5 linked regions of the Canis lupus familiaris genome follow. The protein of the gene in region 4 interacts with the protein of the main gene of each other region in a pairwise test. Links are inferred from orthologs where the notes say so. Each region holds a gene or a part of one and is shown on either strand. Other genes may lie near its edges.

Region 1 (3,979 bases), on a different chromosome or scaffold from region 4:
CACCCTGGGAGACACACCCAGGGACAGCACTTGATTTGGGACAGAACCCTTGGGCTTGGAAATGAATGGAAAATGAGGGCTACAACAAGAAGGAAGGGTGTGCATAGAGGAGGAAGGGTAGTGGCAGGAATTAACAAGAAAGAATAGAGGAAGACAAGAATACAGGGCTATAAAAAAGAAAGGAGGCCAGAGAGAGCTGAGGCTTCTGAGAAGTCTGAGGGCTGCTCCCTACCTGTTTGTGGTGCCTTTCGGGGGACCCCTTGACAAGGCAGCTGCGGCTGAGGCGGAGGTAGCCCCCCAGAACCAAGATCTCCTCCGCAGTCGGGTACCGCTTCTTCCCAACTCCAGGAACTGCAACATCAGCCGCGGCTGGGGTGGCGGGAGTGCTGGGGGCTGCTGGGGGCACAGACCGCCGGGGGTTGACTGTGAAGGTGTGTCCACTGCGGCGAGGGGTCCCCACCCCTGGCCCTGCCTTCACCCCATAGAACAGACGGTTCATGAGGGGATCCCCAGGGGACTGGGGAGCAGGTGGGGCTGGGGGTAGGGGAAACAGAGGGGCTGTTGGTGGGGGCCGGAGATCCACCGCTTCCTCTTCCTGCCTCGTAGAGCCTTTAGTCCCAGCGTCCTCTGGTGGGAAGGGGGAGGGCACAGAGCTACAGTTCTGCAGGGTTCTCAGAGGCCTGCTCAGAGCCCCTGCCTTCTCCTTCTCAGCCTCCCCTTCTCCAGCCTCTGTACCAAGAGGCCCCAGATACTTCTCAGCAGCCTCTGGGGGTTTCTGAGGTTGAGTCTCTGTGTCCCTGGGTGTCCGTTCTCGAACCTTTCCAGAGTTCAGGGTCCATTTCCAGCCTTCTGTCAGCCTCAGGCCCCTCTCACTATCCTCCACAGGGCCGGGCCTTTGCTCTGCTGCCTCCACCTCTCCAGAGCTGCTCTCTGGAGCCTCCCTTGTCAGGGTCTCTGACACCTTTGTAATCTCTTCTGAGGCCAGTGTTGGAATTGGTCTCTCTTCTTTTCTCCTACATTCCTCCAAACAGTCTTTTCTTTCTTCTTCTGAGCTGGGCCTCCACCCTGATGCCTCCCGTTGTACCAAACTCTGTTCCTGAGACTCTCCAGAGTCGGGCCTCCATTTATGGGACTCTGACAGCTCCAACTTCTGGTTGTCAGATTCTGCGGGGCTCAGTCTACTTTCCACCACCTCTTTTCTCCTGGGGCTTTGTTCTGCAGGCTCTGCCAGTCTCAGACTCCACTCTGGAGTTTCTCCAGGGCTCAGCCTCCATTTCCGTGCCTCTGACAGTCTAGAGCTCCTGTCTCCAGACTCTCCTGGGCTCTGCCTCCAGTCCCAAGCCTCTGAAGTTCTGGGGCTCAACTCTCGGGCTCCCCCTATCCCCAACTTCCTCTCTCTGGCCTCCCTGGGACTGAGCCGCTCTTCTTTTGAGTCTCTTCCCTTGGGGCTCTGATCTCGAATTTCCCCAGGACTGGGTCTCCTCTCCCGGGCCTCCAAAGGCCCAGGCCTTCTCTCTGCAAGTAACTCTTCATTGCGCTGCTGCTGCTGCTGCTGCTGGCGCTCCTGCCGAATGAATCGGTTCTGGTGCACCGGCCCAATGGCTTCTAGGAGGACAGCCGACTCATCTGGGTCTGGAGGTCCAGCCTCTGTAGTCCCAGGGGCAGGGCTAGGTTCTCCAGGAGACAGACCAAGCTTGGCCCGGCGGCGCTCCAGGATTCCCCGCTTCCAGGCTGGCATCTGGGACAGACGATCCCGCTCAGCCTTCTCCCGGCCACGAAGGGCCGCCTCCTCCTGCCGCCGTCGGGCCAGCAGCTGTAGCTTCCAGTCCGGGATGGTAGCCATGGTCGCGCGGAGGTAGGGGTGGGAAGTGCTGGGCTAGAGAACAGGAAAGAGAGGCTCCAGAGGTCCTGGGGGTAGGGGGAGGGGAAGCAGAGGGGCAGAGGAGGGACACCGAGATGGGCCCAGGCCCGGGAGGGGAAGAGTGAGAAGATGGAGGGCAAAGTAACGGGGAAACAGAAAGTGAAAAAGCAGTGGGCCCGGCGGAGGTGGCGTCGCGGCCCTGAGAGGAAGAATAGAGATTCAGGGCGAGGAGACAGCAGTCAGAATTGGCAGCGCGGGGTTCATGGTATCGGGGAGGCCCGAGGATGTGAGCGGAGAGAAGGGCGGAAAAGGAGTCGTAACGAGGGAGGCGAGAGCCCGGAGCGGCCGGGGAGCGGGGGCGGGGGCGGCGCGAGGAGGAGGACCAGGCCGGGTTTCCCCACCGCCGCCCCAGAGGCGGGGGGCGGGGGGGGCGGGGAGGGGTCCGGGAGTCCCGCCGGGAGGGAGCCGGGACTGGAGCGGCGTCGGGGAGCCGGGAGGAGCCGGCGTCCGGGGAGGCAGCGGGGCGCGGGGCGCGGGTGCGCCCACCCCGGGGCTCCCGGAACCCCGGCGCCCGCCCCCGCCCCTCCTGCGGCAGCCCCCGGCCCGGGCCGCGCCCCGGCTCCGCGCCCCGGCTCTGCCGCCAGGCCCGGCTCCCGGCTCAGCGGCCCCGCGGAGCCCGCCGTCCCCCCGGCTCGGGGCGCACCGACAGGCAACCGCGGCTCGACGGGAGGAGCCCGAGGTCCGCGCCGGGGCGGGCGGCGCGAGACACCCCCGCCCCGAGGCCGCAGCCCCGCAGCCGACTCACACGCGCGGGGCTCCCACGGGAGGGGTGCGGAGGAGCAGGCGTCCGAGGGAGGAGGAGTGGGACCGAGGGAGAGCCGGAGACGCGGGCGGGGAGGCGGGAGGGTGACCGCGACCCGGGGCCGGGCGGGGGGCGGCGACCGCTTTGTCTGAGGACAATGGGGAGGGAAGGGGGCGCGGGCGGGGCGGCGCGGGGCGGGGCGGGGCGGGGCGGGGCCGGCTCCCGAGCCCGCGCGTGGGCCCCGCCTCCCCGGCTCCCCTTCTCGCGCCCGAGCCCCGGCCCGGCCCGGCCCTCCTGCCGCGAGCCCCGGAGAACGCAGGTGTCCAGGCCCTGGCCCCCGCCCCGCCCGCCCCGCCCGCCGCGCCCGCCGCGACTCAGGCCCCTCGAGGGACTCGCAGAGGAAGCAGCCGCTGCCCCGGCCGGGCCCGCCCCTCCCCAGGCGGTGGCCTCTCCCGGCCAGCCTGCGTCACTGCGGGGTCCCGGGCGGCCACCCGGAGACGTACTCGGAAGCCCACGGCTTTGGTAACTGGCCCCCACGACAGCCGCTGCCCAGTCTTTAGCTTCAGCCCGCGTCCCATGGGTCCCGGTCCACGGCGGGGGAACTGGGGACTTGGAGGAAGGGGGCTGGGCCTCGGGGGTGTGCCCGAGGGGCCGCCGCCCAGCGGTCGCCAGAGGGCGCGGTGGCCGTCCGGACTCGACTTCGGCGTGCCTGGGCTCTGCTGGCCTTCCTTCCAAAGTCAGCCCTCTAGTTAGAGACACACTGATGGACTGCATGCCATATGTAGAAAAAACGGGCTGAATTTTATTTTTCCGCCGCAGACGTTCCTCGGGAGGGCAGAGATCTCTTAGTCACCAACATGAAGGGCGGGAGGATCCTCTCAGGTTAGAGGACAGAGCCCAGGGCCAGCGCCTAAGGAGGGGCAAGGCCTAAGGAGGGGCTAGGTGAGTCAGCAGAGCTGGCATTACCATCAAACCTGCAGACCCTGATCCTACTCCTAGGAAGGGAAGCCTGAGGGGGAGAAGGGGATCCCTGAGGTGTAGAAGGGAGCAACAGTGGGAGGGAAGTGGGCAGGCCCACCCTTCTTCCTTAGAAGGACTGTTCTTAAGGTGGGGTGGAGGTGGGTCAAGGCCTAAACTGTGAGGAAATACTGAAGTTCCCCACCCTTCCTCCGTGGTTTGGTGAGAAGTAGATCTTGGGGTCCAGTGGTTGAAATTCAGGATTAGGGTATGGAGCTGGGCCCAAGGAGTGGAGGCTCAAACAGGGGAAGGGATGGCCCCTTCAGTCCATAGATTTGGGCCTCTGGTCTGAAGCAGCC
Region 2 (3,977 bases), on a different chromosome or scaffold from region 4:
GTCCTGGACCAGCGGATTAGCAACAGATGACGTTGCAGCCCCCTCCCACCACTAGGAACAAGTGCCAGCAATCTGTGCTTCCACAAGCCTGCCAGGTGATTCAGATGCCTGCCCAGGTTAGGAAGCCACGGGCAGAGAGAAGCTGAAGCAGATGGGTCAGGTCGCGTGCCTGTGTTGGTAAGCCTCCTGGGGTTACGTGTACCCGTGCACACACGTTTCTCTGTAAGGGACTACGCGTTGCACTAATCTTACGAAGGCTGTAAAACATGTTGAGAATAGGAAAGGGACAAAGGAGAAGAGAAGCTCCCCTGTTCTTCCAACATCCCGCTGAGGTGGTGGGTGGGGGCTCCTCCTGACCGCAGCCAGGTGATGGGGTCCTGCTCGGGTCCTCACCTGCGGCAGTAAGAGAAAGTGGCATTTGGCGGAGGGAGCAGGTGGGCCTCCTACGTGGCCATCGCAAGGTTTTCCCGGAGAAAACTGCCTTTCCCACGGCAATCCTTTGTGGACAGGCTAGCCCGCGAGAGCCGGGCCCGGTTCCGGGAGCCTCGGCGCCGCGGCAGTCACCGCAGCGGGGCTCATTTTTTATGACGACTTGTCAGTGCGTGAACAAGCTATTCATGCTCCTTCGATGTTACTGAAGCTTTAGCATTTTTGCCAGAGCTGGTGCACGTGTACTGTTAGATTATCTTCGCTTTTTGTTTATCGATTTTTTTTTTTTTTTTAAAGATTTCATTTGAGAGCAAGAGGGGCTGGGTGGGGAGGTGCGGACCCCGGGGTCGGGACCTGAGCACACGCTCCACCGACTGGGCCACCAGCTGCTTTGATCAACGTTTTATTTTTATTTTTCTATTTTTTTAAAGATTTATTTATTTATGATAGAGAGAGGCAGAGACACGGGCAGAGGGAGCAGCAGGCTCCATGCGGGGAGCCCGACGCGGGACTCGATCCCAGGTCTCAGGAATCGCGCCCTGGGCCAAAGGCAGGCGCTAAACCGCTGCGCCACCCAGGGATCCCCTGATCAATGTTTTAAGGGAGACTTTTGAGGCCCAGTTTACCTTTCCAGGCTTCCTGGGGCGTCGCTCCCGCGCCCCGAGGCGCCGGCTCCCCCGCCGCCCTCCGCCGCGGGCGCTGCGGCAAGAGGCCCCGCCCCGGAAGTCGGGCCCGCCTCGCCCGGAAGTCAGCCGTCCCGCCCCCAACCCCGGAAGTGGGCGGCCCGCCGCGCGCCGCGAGGTCCCGGCTCAGCGCCCGCGGGGTCGTGTGTTCGGTAGGCGCGGGGGTCGGGCCGCCGTCGGGGCTGCGGGCGGGCTGCGGGCGGGCTGCGGGCGGCGCGTGGTGGCGGGAGCGCCGGGCGCGGGGGCCCTGGCTGTGGGGAGCCGCTGACCCCCGCGCCCGCCGCCGTTCGGGCAGCCCGGTGCCGCGCCGCGGAGCCCACCCTCGGTGCGTGCGCGGAGAGCCCGGAGCCCCGCCTGCTGGGTGCCAGCCGCGTCCGCGCGCCTCGGTCCGCGGGCCGGCAGCACCCGCCCCCGGCCCCTCCCCCCTTCCCCCGTCGGTCCCCCCTCCCCCTCCCTCCCCGCCGATCCCTCCCCCCGCCCCCCCGCGCCTCGGCCGCCCGAGGACGCTCGCAGTTCCCTTTCTTGGCGGGGACCGCGCGCTCCGGGAGGCTGCGCCGGGGCGAGGCTCGCGTGCTGCTGGGGCCGCGGGTTCCCGGTGCCCCCGGGCCGGCTCCCCGCGGGCGGGCGGTTGGACCCCAGCCGCGGTCTGCCCTCGCCCTTCCCCAGCCCGTCTGCGTCGGAGCGCTGCCCGCCCAGGCCCGGGATGTACATGCAGGTGGAGTCCCGCAGCAGCTCCTGCCTCCATCTGAAGAGGGCTCCGGGCATCAGGTCCTGGTCTTTGCTTGTTGGTAAGGATTTCCGTATTTCCCCCAAGCTAAAAACCTAACTTTAAAAACACGGAAACAGGGATCCCCGGGTGGCACAGCGGTTTGGCGCCTGCCTTTGGCCCAGGGCTCGATCTTGGAGTCCCGGGATCGAGTCCCACGTCGGGCTCCCGGTGCATGGAGCCTGCTTCTCCCTCCTCTTCTGTCTCTGCCTCTCTCTCTATGATAAATAAATAAATAAATAAATCTTAACTAAAAAATAAAAAAATAAAAACAACGGAAACAAAACTGTCTTGTTGCCCCCAAGTACAACAATTATCTCATATCTTTCTAGCTTTTATCCTCCGTGCGATTGTCCTTTTTCCACCTTCACCTTAAGGTTGTGCCTGTTCTCCCGAGGTCCTGGTGTTCTCCTTTTCCTTGCCTCCCAATGCCCGGGTGCGGGCGTCAGGCTGGGCGGTGGGCCCCAGTTCGCTCCTTCACTGTCCCTCTGGGCGTCCAGCACGCGGGGGCAGCTGCAGGCCATTGGTGGGCCTGGTGTGAGGAGTGGTGTGGCTGTGCCTTCAGCAGCCTGCCTCTGGTCCGTCATTCCCGACACCCTGCTCGTGGCCACCTGCCTGTAGTGCTTCATGTGCCACACGTGGTCCTTGCGCACATGCTGCGCTGGTAGAGTAAACCCCTGCTGTCCGGCTCCTCCCTCTGGTTCGCTGGTCAGCCCTGGAGCCCCAGGTAGAGGAACAGATTCCCGGAACGCAGAATGGCATTTGCCATGGTCCCAAGCGCGCCTCCTGCCTCTTGCCCTCCTTCCTGAGCCATGGTCTCTGGTTCCCCTGCTCCCCACCTCCAGGCACCCTGGCACCAGGAAGGCCTGCTCTCCCTGCACCTCTGGGCCTGTGGCTCCAAGTGAGGGGGCCCTAGGCCGCTGGTGGCCCAATAGAAGCACCTGCTTTCTTTTCTCTTTGCAGGAATCTTGTCCATTGGCCTGGCTGCTGCATACTACAGTGGAGGTGAGGTGCATCCCCCTGCCTCCCTCCCCTCCCCCCTCCCGCCCACCCTGTCACTTAGTCTGTTTGAGAAATAGAGAAAAGAGAGAGAGAACTCACCATTAGTGGTGCCCACTGAGCCCCAGCCTTTGGGGCCACAGGCACCTGTGCAGGTGCTGCCCCAGCCTGAGCACTGGTGCATCCTTCCTAATAGCCTGTCCCGTGCCACCTGTGCTCTTCCCTTCTCGTATCTGGAGCACTTTCCCTGGTGATGAAACTTTCTTAAAAGGTGCTCTTGTATTTGCCTGAGGCTGTTGCAGGCTAAGCCACACTTGTAGCTGCTCCTGCAGGTGGCTCCCTCCACCGTCACAGTCACACCGTGTCTCCAGCAGATGCTGCAGGGAGAGTGGAGGGCACAGAGCTGGCCGGACATTTCACATATGGTTCCAAGTGACAGGCAGGGCCAGCAGTGCCGGGCGGCCACCCTGGGCCAGGTCTGCTGGCCCCAGGTGCCACCCCTGCCCGGTATCGGCTGGCGAGGGGGCCCATGGCACGCAGGCCTCCGCCCGCTGCTGCTGCCCCTCACCCGCTGCCTGTTGTTTGCTCTGCAGATAGTTTGGGCTGGAAGCTCTTCTATGTCACCGGCTGCCTGTTCGTGGCCGTGCAGAACCTGGAGGACTGGGAGGTAAGGCCAGCGCAGGCGAGGGTGGGGGCGCCGTGGGAATCACCGCAGGGGGAGAGGCTCAGAGGCCTCACACACCCCCTGTCCTCAAACTTCAGCTTCGAGGTTTCTGGTTAGTAGGACTCAGCCCCTGGGCAGAGGGATCCCCCGAAGCTGTATTTCTCCTAGACGCGCTTTGCGACTGCTTCCACCGAATTCCTTGCTCCGTGGTGTTGCCGTAGCACGGAGCAGATTGAAGGTGCCCTGGGTGAGGGACCGTCTCCTTGGTGGGCCCTTCCTGAGGAACCACAGGACCCACGGTTGCTCTCTGGCCCCCACTCCCGTTTAGTGACCTCAGCTTGGGGAGAGCACCTGCTCTGATGCCTCTCTTTGTCTCCACGCCCCCTGGCCCCGTGCTCCCGACACGTGGGAGCCCAAGAGGGTGTGGCTGTAGGTG
Region 3 (4,124 bases), on a different chromosome or scaffold from region 4:
CACCTACCCTTTAAACACCCTTCATTTGGCTTTTACTGGTTTCTAAGCTAAAACAGGTAAACTTTAAGTTGTAGGGAAACATTACTGACTTTTCCCATCTAAGCTCTATTATAGGCTTTGAATGAACTAGAAAAGATACTGCCAAGAAAATGATTCCAATCTCTACATTTCCTACCTGAGAGGAAATAAATGCAAAATAACCAAGCAAGTATTAATTAATGACAGGGTGGGAACTACAGTATGCTAAGCGGGAAATCTGTTTTATTTTTTTTTAAGATTTTTAATTTATTTATTCATGAGAGATGCAGAGAGAGGCAGAGACATAGACAGAGGGAAAAGCAGGCACCCTGCAGAGAGCCTGATGCGGGACTTGATCCAGGACCGGGATCACACCCTGAGCTGAAGGCAGATGCTCAATCACTGAGCCACCCAGGCATCCCAGGAAATCTGTTTTGAACTGGGAATTCACAAACACACCTGAAGCCAATACGGAACAGGTGATACACAGGTATGACTTGGGAGTGTGGACACTAGAAACTGTTAAGTCCTAGCCCCATTCAGCACGGGGTCCATGGTGGGCTTGGGTAATAATATAAACAAACAGAGACCCTAATAATAAGTCACTGTTGCTGACTCAAAAAAAAAAAAAAAAAAAAAAGTCTGCAGAAGATCCAGGAAGAATTTTAAAATGAAGTTGTCTTTTTAAAGTCCATGGAACCACCCTAATGCCCCTTCATATACACCCACTTTGTATCCATTATGCCTCTGACCACTGCAAGCAGGAAACAAAGTTTTGGAGTTAAAAGAAACTGGTTTCAAGTTCTGGTTCCACTACATAGCAGCTGAGGGACCATGAACAAGTCATTTAACTCCTTGACGCCTCAGTCTTAGGTAAAATAGGGTATTAACAATCACAATTATTTAAAGGCTCATAGATCCAAATGCAGCATGAAACTGCTGTGTAACCTACATAGCATCACAGAAACCTTAGTGGTTGTTTTTACTTAAAAGTGGTGGGAACCATCTGGCCATTTTCATCTCCCTGACCTTGCTTCTACCACATTTAGCCTCTCACCAGAAGGCAAAATCAAAAAAAGGTAAAACTGACCTTGGGATAAAATAATAGTTTTTACACCCAGCTGCTCATCAAAATCACTTGGGAGAGCTTGTTAAAAATAGAGCTTCTTCTGCTCCAGACCTAATGAATCAGAATCTCTAGAGATAACAAGGTGCAGAGCACTGAATGGTCCTGAATGATATAGAGGACAAGTATGGGCACTGGAATATCGAAAATAGAAGCCTGGCTACTTATTCCTCTATGATGTTCATTCAAATGAAGTTTTATTTAAGTATAAAATGTTTATTCTGATTTTCATCCCTTTTTTTTTCTTTTCACTCGTTCATGTGGTGATTCAGGAGCTTTCAAGACACCTAATTTTAAAATATCAATCTCAAAAAAAAAATATCAATCTCAAAATAAATAAGTTAATTAATAAAATAAAATAAAATATCAATCTCCTTCAACATACTTTCAGGGACACCGCACAAGATAACCACCAATTGGGTTCAAAGTCCCAGCAAAATTCATATGCTCGGTTACTGCCGTGTCAATTCAGTTAGACAATTGTTAATTTCTGCCAACTGCAAAAGTTAACTGCTGATGCTCACAGGGTTGCGTGTTCCTCTTTAAGACACTCCATCACCAGTTATTATGAAGCTGAAAGGAGACTCGGAGTTGAACCAGCCTCAGACATTTCACAGATCAGAAAAATAAGGTGAAGAAGTCTAGAACCAGGACTCCCAGATTCAGCACTTGAGAAGAAAAGACTAACTGTAAAAGACCAACCCTTCCTTAGCAACATGAGAAATGCCATTCCTTTTCCAATGGACTCACAGGCTGAATTTTTTTTAATCCCTTCCTGTAATTTTGATGAGCCCAGGGCTCCAGGGTGAGAACCATATTCTGTCATTTTAATACCGTTACAAAGTAGGTTCTGTAGTCTCACTCACCCAAACCAAACACTCCATCACTATGGTCTTTAGTATAAACCAGATCAGAATAAAAGCGGGGGGGGGGGGGGGTCGCAGCAACAAGCTTAGTGTCGATGAGGAGTAGGTGCTGACATCATTTAGGAACTGTGAGCTGCAATGAAGCTTTTTCTGACGACCTTAGCCCAGGGACGGCTCTTTCTAAATTGCTAAAGAAGATTCCGCTCCTTTACCCTCCATCGCATCCTGTCACACCTTAGATCAGTCTCCGGACTGTCCAACAGTAAACTATGTGGAGGGGCCCTGACTTCCCACCAGCTCTATCAATCCAGAGCGCTGAGTTGGCAGGTGCTGGACAAAGCATTATGATCCGTAAGTGTGACTTTCCCTTCGCCCAGTCTACCCAGCAGGTGGATTGCGGCCTCGAAGATCCCAGGAGCCGTCCGGCCCAACGTCTCCAGGCATCAGGCCGGACCCTCCAACCGCCGCCGACCTGGGCACCCCGCCAGAGACTGAGCGCTTCCGAGCTGCCCCGGGCTGCGCCCCGCCGGAAGGACTCGGCCTCTACACCGGCGGACGCCCGAGGCCCCAGCCAGGGGAGCCGGCCTCGCCCAGCCTGGCTGCGCTCCCGCCCGTGCCCCGACGCGGCCCTCACTTGTGCGTCTGCTGGTATAGCGGCTCCATGTCGCCGGCCGCGCCGGGTCCGGCCCTGGCTTCCTCGGAACACGTCCTCACAGAGCCCTTTCCGGTTTCCGGCTTCCGGCTTCCGGTCGCAGGACCCGCCCCCTCCTGCCAGCCAGGGCTGCCCCCACGCGCGCCCGGCTGGCGGTGGTGGCGAGAGAGGAGGAGGGTAACGGGAGAAGAGGCCCGGGCAAGAAGGCCAGGTGTAGTCAGAGGCGCTGCGGCAGATCGGGGACGAGGAAACGTGGGTTTGGGCCGGGGGCGGTCTTCAGCATCAGCTCAGGCGTTGACCAGGGCAGTCGGAGAGGACCGACGTGGGGTCCTCAGAGCCCGGCTGCAGCAGAGCAGGTGGATGGATCCCTGCCCTTCCCTGCGGTTGGCTTCGCCGTCGACTGCTCCGCTCTGGGATTGGATGGAGATTTCGCTCATCGCTGTAGTGTCTGCCCCGAGCTTCTCCTCTGTCAAATCTGTCCGCTTCCTACCCTCCCCGCCCGTCCCCCCCTCCCCATTATCCTTCCAATAAACTCAAAATGAATGAGCGGTTAGTTACTATGTGTGCAGTGGGGGAAACCGGGCTCCTCTTGCCCTCCAAAGAGGTCGCGGGCTAGGAAGTAAGATAAGTATACAAAGAAGTCCAGACAGGCTGAGCTGAGCCGGGGTCAGCCCCGTCGAAGAGTCAGGAAAGACTCCTAATGTAGGAGGTGGCATTTGAATTAGGACTCGAAGGATTGGGACGCTTCGGTCTCTCTCTCCACAGAGACCTAACCCGTGTCCACCCTCCCAGGCTTATCTGCAGTTCCTTCCAAGGGAGGAGATGTTCCTCTTCCTTTGACAAGTTGATGCTTTTATTTTCCTGTATCCTGGAGCCCACCCAGTTTTGTGTCCTAAGAGACTGTCCACCCATGTACATTCTTTCCCAAACATTTTCCCATTCTAATTATTAATGAGCACCTACTATTACCAGGCACAGATACTGGGAGCAGGATTACAGGAAAGATAGCCTTCAAATATCTCTTCTCTCGTAGTCTGTTGACAGAGCTAATTATGCCCTCCAGCTACATTATCAAGTAGAAAAGTGCTACAGTTGATACAAAGTACCTTTTTTTTTTTTTTTTCTGGAGAAAAGCAAGAAGAGTTCGTGGATGAAAGAGCCTATGAATGGGGCCTTCAAGAATCAAGTGTTTTGTTTTTTTGTTGAAGAATCAATAGAATTTTAACAGTGTCTTGCACATGCTAACCCCTCTGTAAATGTTTATGTTTAAAAAGATTTATTTTTTTGAGAGAGAGCAGCTCACTCAGAGGGTAGGGGCAGAGGGAGAGGGAAAGAGAGAATCTCAAGCTGACCCCCCACCCAGTGGAGCCCAATGCTGGGCTCTGTCCCAACACCCATGAGATCATGACCTGAGCAGAAACCAACAGTCCCTCAACCAACTGAGCCACCCAGGTGCCCCTGT
Region 4 (4,195 bases):
TATAAATCTTTTTTAAAAATTTAGAAATGTGGCTACTAACAATTTAAAATCACAATTATGGCTCACAAGTTGGGCAGCACTGCTCTATGGACCAGGAACCAGAGTGAATACAACAGACTCTCACCTCACGGAAAGTATGTTCTAGTGGGAGAGAGAGAAAAAAACAGACAAACAGATGTCTGTCCGTGCTCTGAGGAGAAGCAGGAGAGGGGAGTGAATGTGAAAGAAAGCTTTTCAAAGGAAGGAGAGATCTGAATGAAGTGAGGGGAAAGCCTTAGGGAAGGGTGCCCTTCGCAGAGGGTACATATAGCGAGTGCAAAGGTTTCTGCTCCAGCTTCCGCAGAGCAGACAAGATGTGGTGTCCACACAGGTGGGCACACAGCGGGCCCTTCAATGACAGCTAACTCTCCCACTCCAACCCTGCACCAAGGTGGAGGCTCAGACACCCCAAGCCACCTCTCTCAAGTCCCTGAGGCACAACGTGGCACCCACTCCCCAACTGCTTCCCTCCTCATCCTCCCATGGGGATAAAAAGGGGATAGCCACCTACTTTTTGCAGCAGGGCCACCTGCCTGGCCCTCTGGAACGTCCATGGGCCACCCCGGTCGCTCTGCAGGTGGTGGAGAAACTAAAAGTCTGCCTCCATCCCTGGGAGGGGCTGACAAAGGCTCGAAGGCTCTGAGAGCTCCTGGAAGGACAAATGGGCATAGCCTCCTCAGACCAGCCACCCCGCCCCACCTGTGCCCCAGGCCGCTCTGGGTTCCCAGAACCTGTTTGCCCACCCCTGCTTCCACCAGAGCAGCTCCCGCTCAGACCTGTTTTATGGATTGGAGGTGTGGGCTGGGGAAGGGGGGGGGCGAGGAGTGGGCAGCAGAGATCAAAGAGTGGCTGGGGGTGGGGGTCACTCCCTCCTTGCTTCCCTTCCACTCTTCCTGTCAAGTCCCTAACCTGGTTTCTCTTTGCCCTACGACTTTATCCTGTCCACTCCTCTCCTTCCCTACATCTCTGGGCCAGGCCCCATCCTTTCCTCCTGGACCCTCATCCCATCCTCCCAAGCCTCCCGGTCTCCAGACTTTCCCCTCCTATGCATCCCCACAGGGCCCCAGAGCTGACCTGCCCCTCTCCTGCTCCCATGGCTCCCCAGTACCCCAGGGACAGAACCTAGACCCTGGACCCAGCATCGAAGGCCCTTTCATGGCCTGGCCCTGCCCACCTCCGCAAACCCAAATCACACTTGCAGTTCCAGCAGCTCTGAACTGCATGCTCTCCCCCACACCGGCATGGCTGTTTCCACCCCCCCCCCCCCGCCCCCCGCCCCCCGCCCCTGGTTTCTGCCTGGGACAATCTCCTTTCCAGCCCTTCCTGTCTTGGCTCACATCCCCCTACTCTGGGAAAATGTTTCCGAATGAGCTGCTGTGTCTGGATTCTCACACTGCCCTGGGTGACTGACATTCTGCTATATCAGCCTGTTTTAGGAACTGTTTGGCTCCCATGTGAATGTGACCCCATCTTTTTCCTACTCCGATCCCTGCCATGGATCCCTAGCGCCCTCAGGACTAAGTCCTAGCCCTTCTGGCTCGTGTGGGACAGAGTGCTCTCTGCAATTCTTTGTCTCTTTTTGTCATTTTTCTCTCCTCTGGCTGACCTCCAGGGCCCTCACCCTCATCACAACTATGGCACTTGTGGCCCCTGCTCTGGCTTACAGCCTCCCTGGGGAGCCTTCCCTGACTCCCCGGACCAGTTAGGGACTCCCTCCTCTGTGCCCTGACAATGACTTGTCCTGCCTCCATTATAACCAGCTTGACTATATGACTTACTGTCCCAATGCCAGGACACTTTCAAGAGCAAGAATGGTGCTATTAATAATTACGCCGGACAACACTGCCCATCGGGGCTGAACTGGGCACACTAGGGCAGATGGTCAACATCAGGTCACCTAGGGCCTGTCTGTCCTCACCCCACCCGCTCGTCACCCCTTTCCTCTCCAAGTGCTCCCTACACCCTGCTCTCCCTGGCCTCAGCCGGCTCCACAGCCATGGAGTGCACACTTCCTGGAAACTTTTAGAATGTCCTAGAAAAAGCGGTCTTTGAAGGGAGACCTCCAGGTTTGGACAACGCTGGAGGGGTGTCGGGGTGGAGGTGGGGGTGATGGCTATGGGGCCTGAGTAGTGAAAGGTCTGGCACTGGTAGCCCCGGATAGGGACTTGAGGGGAGGAGGGAGAGTGAGGGAGGGTCTTTGACAGGCAGGCTAGAGCAGGAGGAGGACACAGGCAGGATTTAAGGGGGTCTGGGTCTTAAAGGGGTCTTTGAGCAGGTTTCTGGGGCGTCTCTGGATTTCTGGGGGTGTCTGACTGGATTCCAGAGGTCTCTGACAGGATCTGGGAAGGTACTCTGACAAGAATTTTGGCGGGTTTGACGAGACTTCTGGGGATCTCTGACAGGACTTCGGGCAGGGCGGGGGTGTCCCTGATAGTATTTGGGAAAGGAATAGTAGTATGGGGGGGGGGTAGCTCGGCAGGCTCTGAGGGAGAAGTCTGACCGAATTTCGAGAAGATTCTGAGGAGATTTCAGGCGTCGTCTATCGGATTTCCTGGAGAGTACTTTTCAGTATTTCTGAGGGTGTTTGGTCAGGATTTCAGGAAAACCTTTTGGAAGGCCTTGATATCGGAGATGCTCCCCCACGATTCAGGAGCTCCAACAGGGCTTCTCTCGGGAACCTCGCCGCCGCCGGGGCGCACCTGGGCCCACGTACGGCCGGACACAGCGGGAGACCACGACTGACCAACGGCAATTGGGTAGCACGGAGGTGCGCGTGCGCCGTGCCACCAGGAAAAGACAGGGGGCGGGGCGGGACCGAGAGCGCGCGTGGTGTCTAAACCCCGCCCCACCTGGGCTCCTCCTCGCGACGCAGGCGCGCACCGCGCTCGCTCCTGTCTGTTACCTGCAACCGCGAGGCCGCGCATGCGTAGGGCTACCGGGGCGCGCACCCGGCCTGGTGGAGCGGGCGCATGCGTATTGGCCGAGCGGGTCAAGGCTGCGGGGGTTACCGCGGGTAGGGCACCGGAGGTGTCCCTGCGTCCTCTGCGCCGGGATCTTCTCCTCTCAAGCTTGAGTGTAATGGGCCCAAGTAAGGGAGAGTTGGATTGAGGCACCTCTTGTCCATCCCCTACTTTTTATCAGCTACTAAGTCATGCCCCTTTGCCGTCTGTTCTGTGCCAGGCTGCCCATCACCATCACAATGATGTCCTGCCCTGTCTTGCTCTAGCACTCCCGCGCCCTCTGGGGCTCCAGTCACCATATATTAATAAATCCCTGAAGGAGTCTTTCTCAAACCGTTTCATTCATCCTTTATAGGAGAGAGTGGGGGAGGAAAATACCCTGTTTTTCCCATCAGACAAGAGAGAATTACACCCAAAATTGACTCCCAAGAAGGGGGATTTGGGACATAAGATGTGCCAGCCATCCGTCTGCCTTTCTGCTAGCAGAGACACAGAAAAGGTTGCATCCCACCATCATTCATTCAGCTGTCACGTCCTCAGACCTTCCCCGGTCACACTGCTGCATTGGGCCCCCTTCTCACTAAACACTTACAATTTCTTAGTGGTCCTCATGGCATGTCTCACAACGTGACATGTATATCTGTGTACTGTCACCCCACTGGAATGTGAGCTATATGCAGTAGGAGGCTGTTTTGGGGCTACAACATGCCTGGCCCAGTGTGAGGGCTCAAAAAAAAAAAAAAGTGTTGAATGAATAAGTGAAGGAATGGATGGAATCCAAACCTCTTAACTACTGGGCAGTATAGAATTTATGACAAGGCTGTGAGCCCAGAGGCAGACATTCTTGGGTTTGAATTTTGGCTCTATTAACTTTGTTGGCACAATGGCTTACCCTCTCTGAGACTCAGGTTTCCTCTCAGAAATGGAGATAGTAATTGCTTCTTAGGTTTCCTTGAGCACTTAAGGTGATAATCGCTGTTAATTGTTATTATCACTGCTATTAGATGGTGACTTGTCATAAGGTCTGGGAAAGAACCTGTTTGACAGGTGGTGTGATGAGTGGTTAAAAGGGTGAGATAGGGAATCAGAAAACCAATGCCACTGCTATGTGACTTTGGCAAGTGACCTCACCTCTCTGAACTTCAATTTTTTCTTTAAAATGGGAACAAATAGTATGCACCTCATGGGGTCTTGAG
Region 5 (4,203 bases), on a different chromosome or scaffold from region 4:
CCAGCCTACTGCCTATGTTTTATGCTATCAGCTCCTTTGTGGCTCAACTGACACAGACTGGAGTCAGAAAAGCAGATGGAATTCTTCCTACACAGGATGAAGTAATACACAGAATGCTAAGCAGAAGGATGGAGCGGTAGTTCCTCAGGGCCAGGGAACTCTGACAGCCCAGGATAACCAAATGTCAATCATTTCTTAAATCCAGCATAAGGGGAAGAAAAACATTCCAGATTTTACTTCTTTTTCTAAATATTCTCTCTTTATTTGTTCCTGAGGTTTCTAGGAACTAGGATTATTTTGGCCTGAAGGCAAGAAGACTTAGACCTGGTTTGCTAAATGAATCTACACTGCTTTAACTTGAAAGAAGGGAAGAAAGAGAGTTATCTCTTTTCTTGGAATGCATTTCAGTCACTCACCACTCAGAGTGAGCATAAATTATATTGACTATCCTGTGGCTTTTGCAGAAAAACTACCTTTGAAAAAAACAGAGCAAAATAACTGGGTAGCCATCCCCTGCTCAAAAACAACTGAAATTATTTTTGTCACAATGGGTGAGGGCAAATCTGATATCAGTATCTCTGTGTTATTAGAGATACTAAGAAAAAGCAGCAGATTCAGAAGTTCTCCCTTCCATAGTCATCTGGGGCTTGAAATGGCAATTTCAGTGAACCAGGCCAACACTCTTCCTTTCCTGTCAAATTAAATATTCCCAAATCTCAAAAAGTACTGAAAAAATTATACAGAGCATCTACCTCATTTAAAAGACAATTAATGCTTCACAAGTTACTGCCCAGATGAATAAAGTGATTGTGAACTTCAAGGAAACAAGTAAACCACAAGAAAACTCCAGATAGGGGCACCTGTGTAGCTCAGGTGGTTAAGCAGCTAGCTGCCTCTTGATTTTGGCTCAGGTCATGATCTTGGTGTCCTGGAATCTAGTCTGTATTGAGCTCCACGCTCAGCAGGGAGTCTGGGTGAGGATTCTCTCTCTCCCTCTGCCCTCCCCCACCCCCTACTCCCCACTTGTGCGTGTGCGCATGCCTATACTCGCACTCTCTCTAGCAAATAAATAAATCTAAAAAGATAAGAAAACTCCAGATAAAACCACAAAGTTAAACATATATTTGGCCCAGTACCACTACAGTGACTGAAGGATGAGAGTCAAATACAGTTCTTTAAACTAGTAACCCTGAATCATTCATCCCCTTTCTTGGAGAGGACAGCATAGTGTTTGCATCCAGACCTCCAGCCCTGGGGTTTCTCCTTCTTAAGGCGAACCCTCAAGAAACCTGCAAGAAAAAAAAGCCTGCGCCAGCTTCAGCTCTAGCTCCAGACGTTAGCTGGTCAGTGAGATGGAGCAGCCTGGCTTCCTCTCTCTAGCCACTCTATGTGGGTAGGAATAAGAGTAGGGGGAGAGATGAGAATGATAAAGAAATACCTGGGGTTCAAGAAACCTCCTTCACATTCGACCCTTTTTCTGCCCGCCCCCCGCCCCCCAGGATGGAAGGTTAAGATAGATAAGCCCAAAAATCAAACGGAGTAGATTTTGCATAGTGGGGAATGGATTTAACAAAATCATCTGGGTATGGTGACTGCCAAGAACCCCCCCCTTCCCACACCCATTAGGAGTCACCTCTGTCTGGGTCACCGGACCGGCCAAGCAGCCCAGCCAAGCGAGGCTCAATCATGCAATCACATTCAGTACTACGAGGAAGAATAACGGGAAGGAAAGCGACCAGAGGGCCGGAAGGCAGGACAGGGTCTCCTACACAAGAAGGGAGAGGCACGAAGGGGAGAGGCAGAGCGCAAGGCAGCGAGAGCTGGTGGAGCTACGACGGAATCCGAGGGAAAGTGAAGCAAGGAGATGCTGGCGGAGGGGAATCCGGACAGGAAGGGCGAGCCAGCGGGCAGCGGCGGAGGGGGCGGGCGCGGGGGCCCGGCCGGTGACTCAGTGAAAGCGGCCGAGGCCGGGCCCGGGGAGACCGCACGGCGCGAAGGTGACCGGCCGCCGCGCGCGGGCCTCCCGAGAGGGGCGCGGCCGCGGGGGCTCACCGTGTCCTTGGACGAGCCCAGCTTCTTGAGGCCGTCCAAGGGCAGCAGGTCGGCGGAGTCCTTATGAATGAACTGCACGGCCTGTTTCATCCGGCGCTGCTGCCGCAGCGACGCCGCCTCCCGCATGTCCGAATCCTTGCGGCCGCCCTCGCTGAGGAGCCCTGAGTAGAACATCGCTGAGGCGCCCGCGGCCCAGCGACCCCGGTCGCTCCCCGCTCCCCCGCCGCCCTCAGCCTCGAGCTCCTCCGGCGCCGCGAGAGCCGCGCGCCGAGCATTTTATAGCCGAGCGTGACGTCACGGGGAGCAGCCAGTGCGCGCGCGGAGGGGCGGGGCCAGCAAGCGCCCCCCCCGCCCGGCGCGCCGCTCTCCCGCGTCCCGGGCGGACCCGGCTCTCCGCGCCACGTCGGTGAAGGGAAGGGCCCGCGAGGGGCGACGCGGGCCGGACCGACTCAGAGCGCCGAGGGCCGGCCAGGGCCGCTTTACCCAGCCTCCCTCCCCCGCTGTGGGTGCCCCGCATCCCCTGGAGCGGGATAGGGTGTTGGGGGCCCCACGGTGCGGCGGCCTCCCCCACGCCCGCCGCGCCGCTCCCGACTCGGCTCACCTGGCCACGCCGTGGCCGACCCGGGGATCACCGCCAGCTGAGCCATGCCCCAAATCCTTCCCTCCGCGCCCCTCCGGGAGTCCCGGCGTCTACAGCGCCCTTCAGAGTTGGGATGGCTCGGGACTTCTGCAACTTCAGGTCCGTCCCCACCCACCAGGCCACGTGACTGCGGGCCTGCTGGAGCTGGCTTTCCGGGGACCCCCCCCCACCGCCCTTGGCTCAGGGCACCCCCGCATCCTCACTTGGGAGCGGGGGCGCAGGGCCGGCTGGAAACCTGCGGGTCAGCTAGGGCTGCGGAAGGCGACAGTCCCCCCTCTGCGACTGCACGGAGTGCGGCCCCACACCTGCTCTGCGGAACCCCTGACGGAAAAGCAAGGATGTCCCAGCCAACACGTAAGGGTCACCGTGGGGGAGGGTCTTTCACTCTCCTCTTCAGCTGGTTTCCAGGAGCAATGGGAACCGGGTTTTCTTTGAGTCCTCCCTACTCTGAAGCTATTCTTTTAAAAAATAATAATAATAAACGTCATTTTTTAAATTTTTAATTTTTTAAAAAAAGATTTTATTTATTTATTCATGAGAGACACACACAGGCAGAGGGAAAAGCAAGCTCCATGCAGGGAGCCGGACTGCATCAGGAACTCCAGGATCATGCCCCCGGCTGAAGGCTGGTGGGAAACCGCTGAGCCACCCAGGGATCCCTAAAATTTTAATTTAAATTAATTTAAAGTTAACATATAGTATATTACCAGTTTCAGGATTAGACTTTAGTGATTCATCGGTTGTATAGAACACACAGTGCCCATTACATCAAGCGCTCTCCTTAATGCCCATCTTCCAGTTACCCCATCCCTCCACCCATCTCCCCTCCAGCAACCCTCAGTTTGTTTCCTACAGTTAAGAATCTCTCATGATTTGCTTCCCTCTCTGTTTTCATCTTATTTTATTTTTCCTTCCCTTCCTCTGTGTTCATGTTTTGTTTCTTAAGTTCCACATATGAGTGAAATCATGTGATATTTGTCTTTCTCTGACCTACTTATTTCACTTAGCATAATGCCCTCTAGTTCCATCCATGTCTTTGCAAATGGCAAGATTTCATTCTTTTTGATAGCTAAGTAATATTTCATTGTGTATATACACAACATCTTTTTTATCCACTCATCTGTGGATGGACAGCTGGGCTCTTTCCATATTTTGGCTGTTGTGGACATTGCTGCTATAAACATTTGGGTGCATGTGCCCCTTTGAATCACTATTTTTGTTTTCTTTGGATAAATACCTAGTAGTGCAATTGCTAGGTTTGGGATAGTTCTCTTTTCAACTATCTCCATACTGTTTTCCAGAGTGGCTGCACCAGTTTGCATGTAAGCCATTCTGATGGGTCCTTCAGGCTTCCTAGCTTCTGGCCCCTATGTTGTGACTTAATACAAACTGGGTTTCCATCCTAGAGACCACTAGCACTACCCTCTCCCACCTTGTGTCTCAGGAGGAGATATGAAGCAGAAAGATCAGTTCGCTGAAGAGAACCAACAAAAGTAACAATATTGACATTT

The links.
Region 1: the proteins of KASH5 (region 4) and PPP1R18 interact in binary tests that used the Homo sapiens proteins (3 or more experiments, as listed by UniProt). The two-hybrid records come from large-scale screens. The link is inferred for Canis lupus familiaris from reciprocal best matches to the Homo sapiens genes KASH5 and PPP1R18.
Region 2: the proteins of KASH5 (region 4) and CYBC1 interact in binary tests that used the Homo sapiens proteins (3 or more experiments, as listed by UniProt). The two-hybrid records come from large-scale screens. The link is inferred for Canis lupus familiaris from reciprocal best matches to the Homo sapiens genes KASH5 and CYBC1.
Region 3: the proteins of KASH5 (region 4) and GOSR2 interact in binary tests that used the Homo sapiens proteins (3 or more experiments, as listed by UniProt). The two-hybrid records come from large-scale screens. The link is inferred for Canis lupus familiaris from reciprocal best matches to the Homo sapiens genes KASH5 and GOSR2.
Region 5: the proteins of KASH5 (region 4) and NRIP3 interact in binary tests that used the Homo sapiens proteins (3 or more experiments, as listed by UniProt). The two-hybrid records come from large-scale screens. The link is inferred for Canis lupus familiaris from reciprocal best matches to the Homo sapiens genes KASH5 and NRIP3.

The regions. Positions count from the first base shown.
Region 1 is NC_049233.1:625,434-629,412, forward strand, and holds the start of PPP1R18 (phostensin), read right to left. Parts: upstream 2,801-3,979; 5' UTR 2,667-2,800; intron 1,877-2,666; 5' UTR 1,844-1,876; coding exon 233-1,843; intron 1-232. Other genes in the region: NRM (nurim), read right to left, coding at 3,542-3,573.
Region 2 is NC_049230.1:760,152-764,128, forward strand, and holds the start of CYBC1 (cytochrome b-245 chaperone 1), read left to right. Parts: upstream 1-1,177; 5' UTR 1,178-1,264; intron 1,265-1,778; 5' UTR 1,779-1,815; coding exon 1,816-1,900; intron 1,901-2,841; coding exon 2,842-2,883; intron 2,884-3,470; coding exon 3,471-3,544; intron 3,545-3,977. UniProt on the Homo sapiens protein: Functions as a chaperone necessary for a stable expression of the CYBA and CYBB subunits of the cytochrome b-245 heterodimer. Controls the phagocyte respiratory burst and is essential for innate immunity.
Region 3 is NC_049230.1:16,663,473-16,667,596, forward strand, and holds the start of GOSR2 (Golgi SNAP receptor complex member 2), read right to left. Parts: upstream 2,801-4,124; 5' UTR 2,674-2,800; coding exon 2,645-2,673; intron 2,434-2,644; exon of another isoform or gene 2,245-2,433; intron 2,169-2,244; exon of another isoform or gene 2,011-2,168; intron 1-2,010. UniProt on the Homo sapiens protein: Involved in transport of proteins from the cis/medial-Golgi to the trans-Golgi network.
Region 4 is NC_049222.1:107,771,335-107,775,529, forward strand, and holds the start of KASH5 (protein KASH5), read right to left. Parts: upstream 2,801-4,195; 5' UTR 2,540-2,800; intron 690-2,539; exon of another isoform or gene 689-689; 5' UTR 594-688; coding exon 551-593; intron 142-550; exon of another isoform or gene 125-141; intron 1-124. UniProt on the Homo sapiens protein: As a component of the LINC (LInker of Nucleoskeleton and Cytoskeleton) complex, involved in the connection between the nuclear lamina and the cytoskeleton.
Region 5 is NC_049242.1:32,954,991-32,959,193, forward strand, and holds the start of NRIP3 (nuclear receptor-interacting protein 3), read right to left. Parts: upstream 2,801-4,203; 5' UTR 2,700-2,800; coding exon 2,654-2,699; intron 2,305-2,653; exon of another isoform or gene 2,227-2,304; coding exon of another isoform or gene 2,214-2,226; coding exon 2,053-2,213; intron 1-2,052.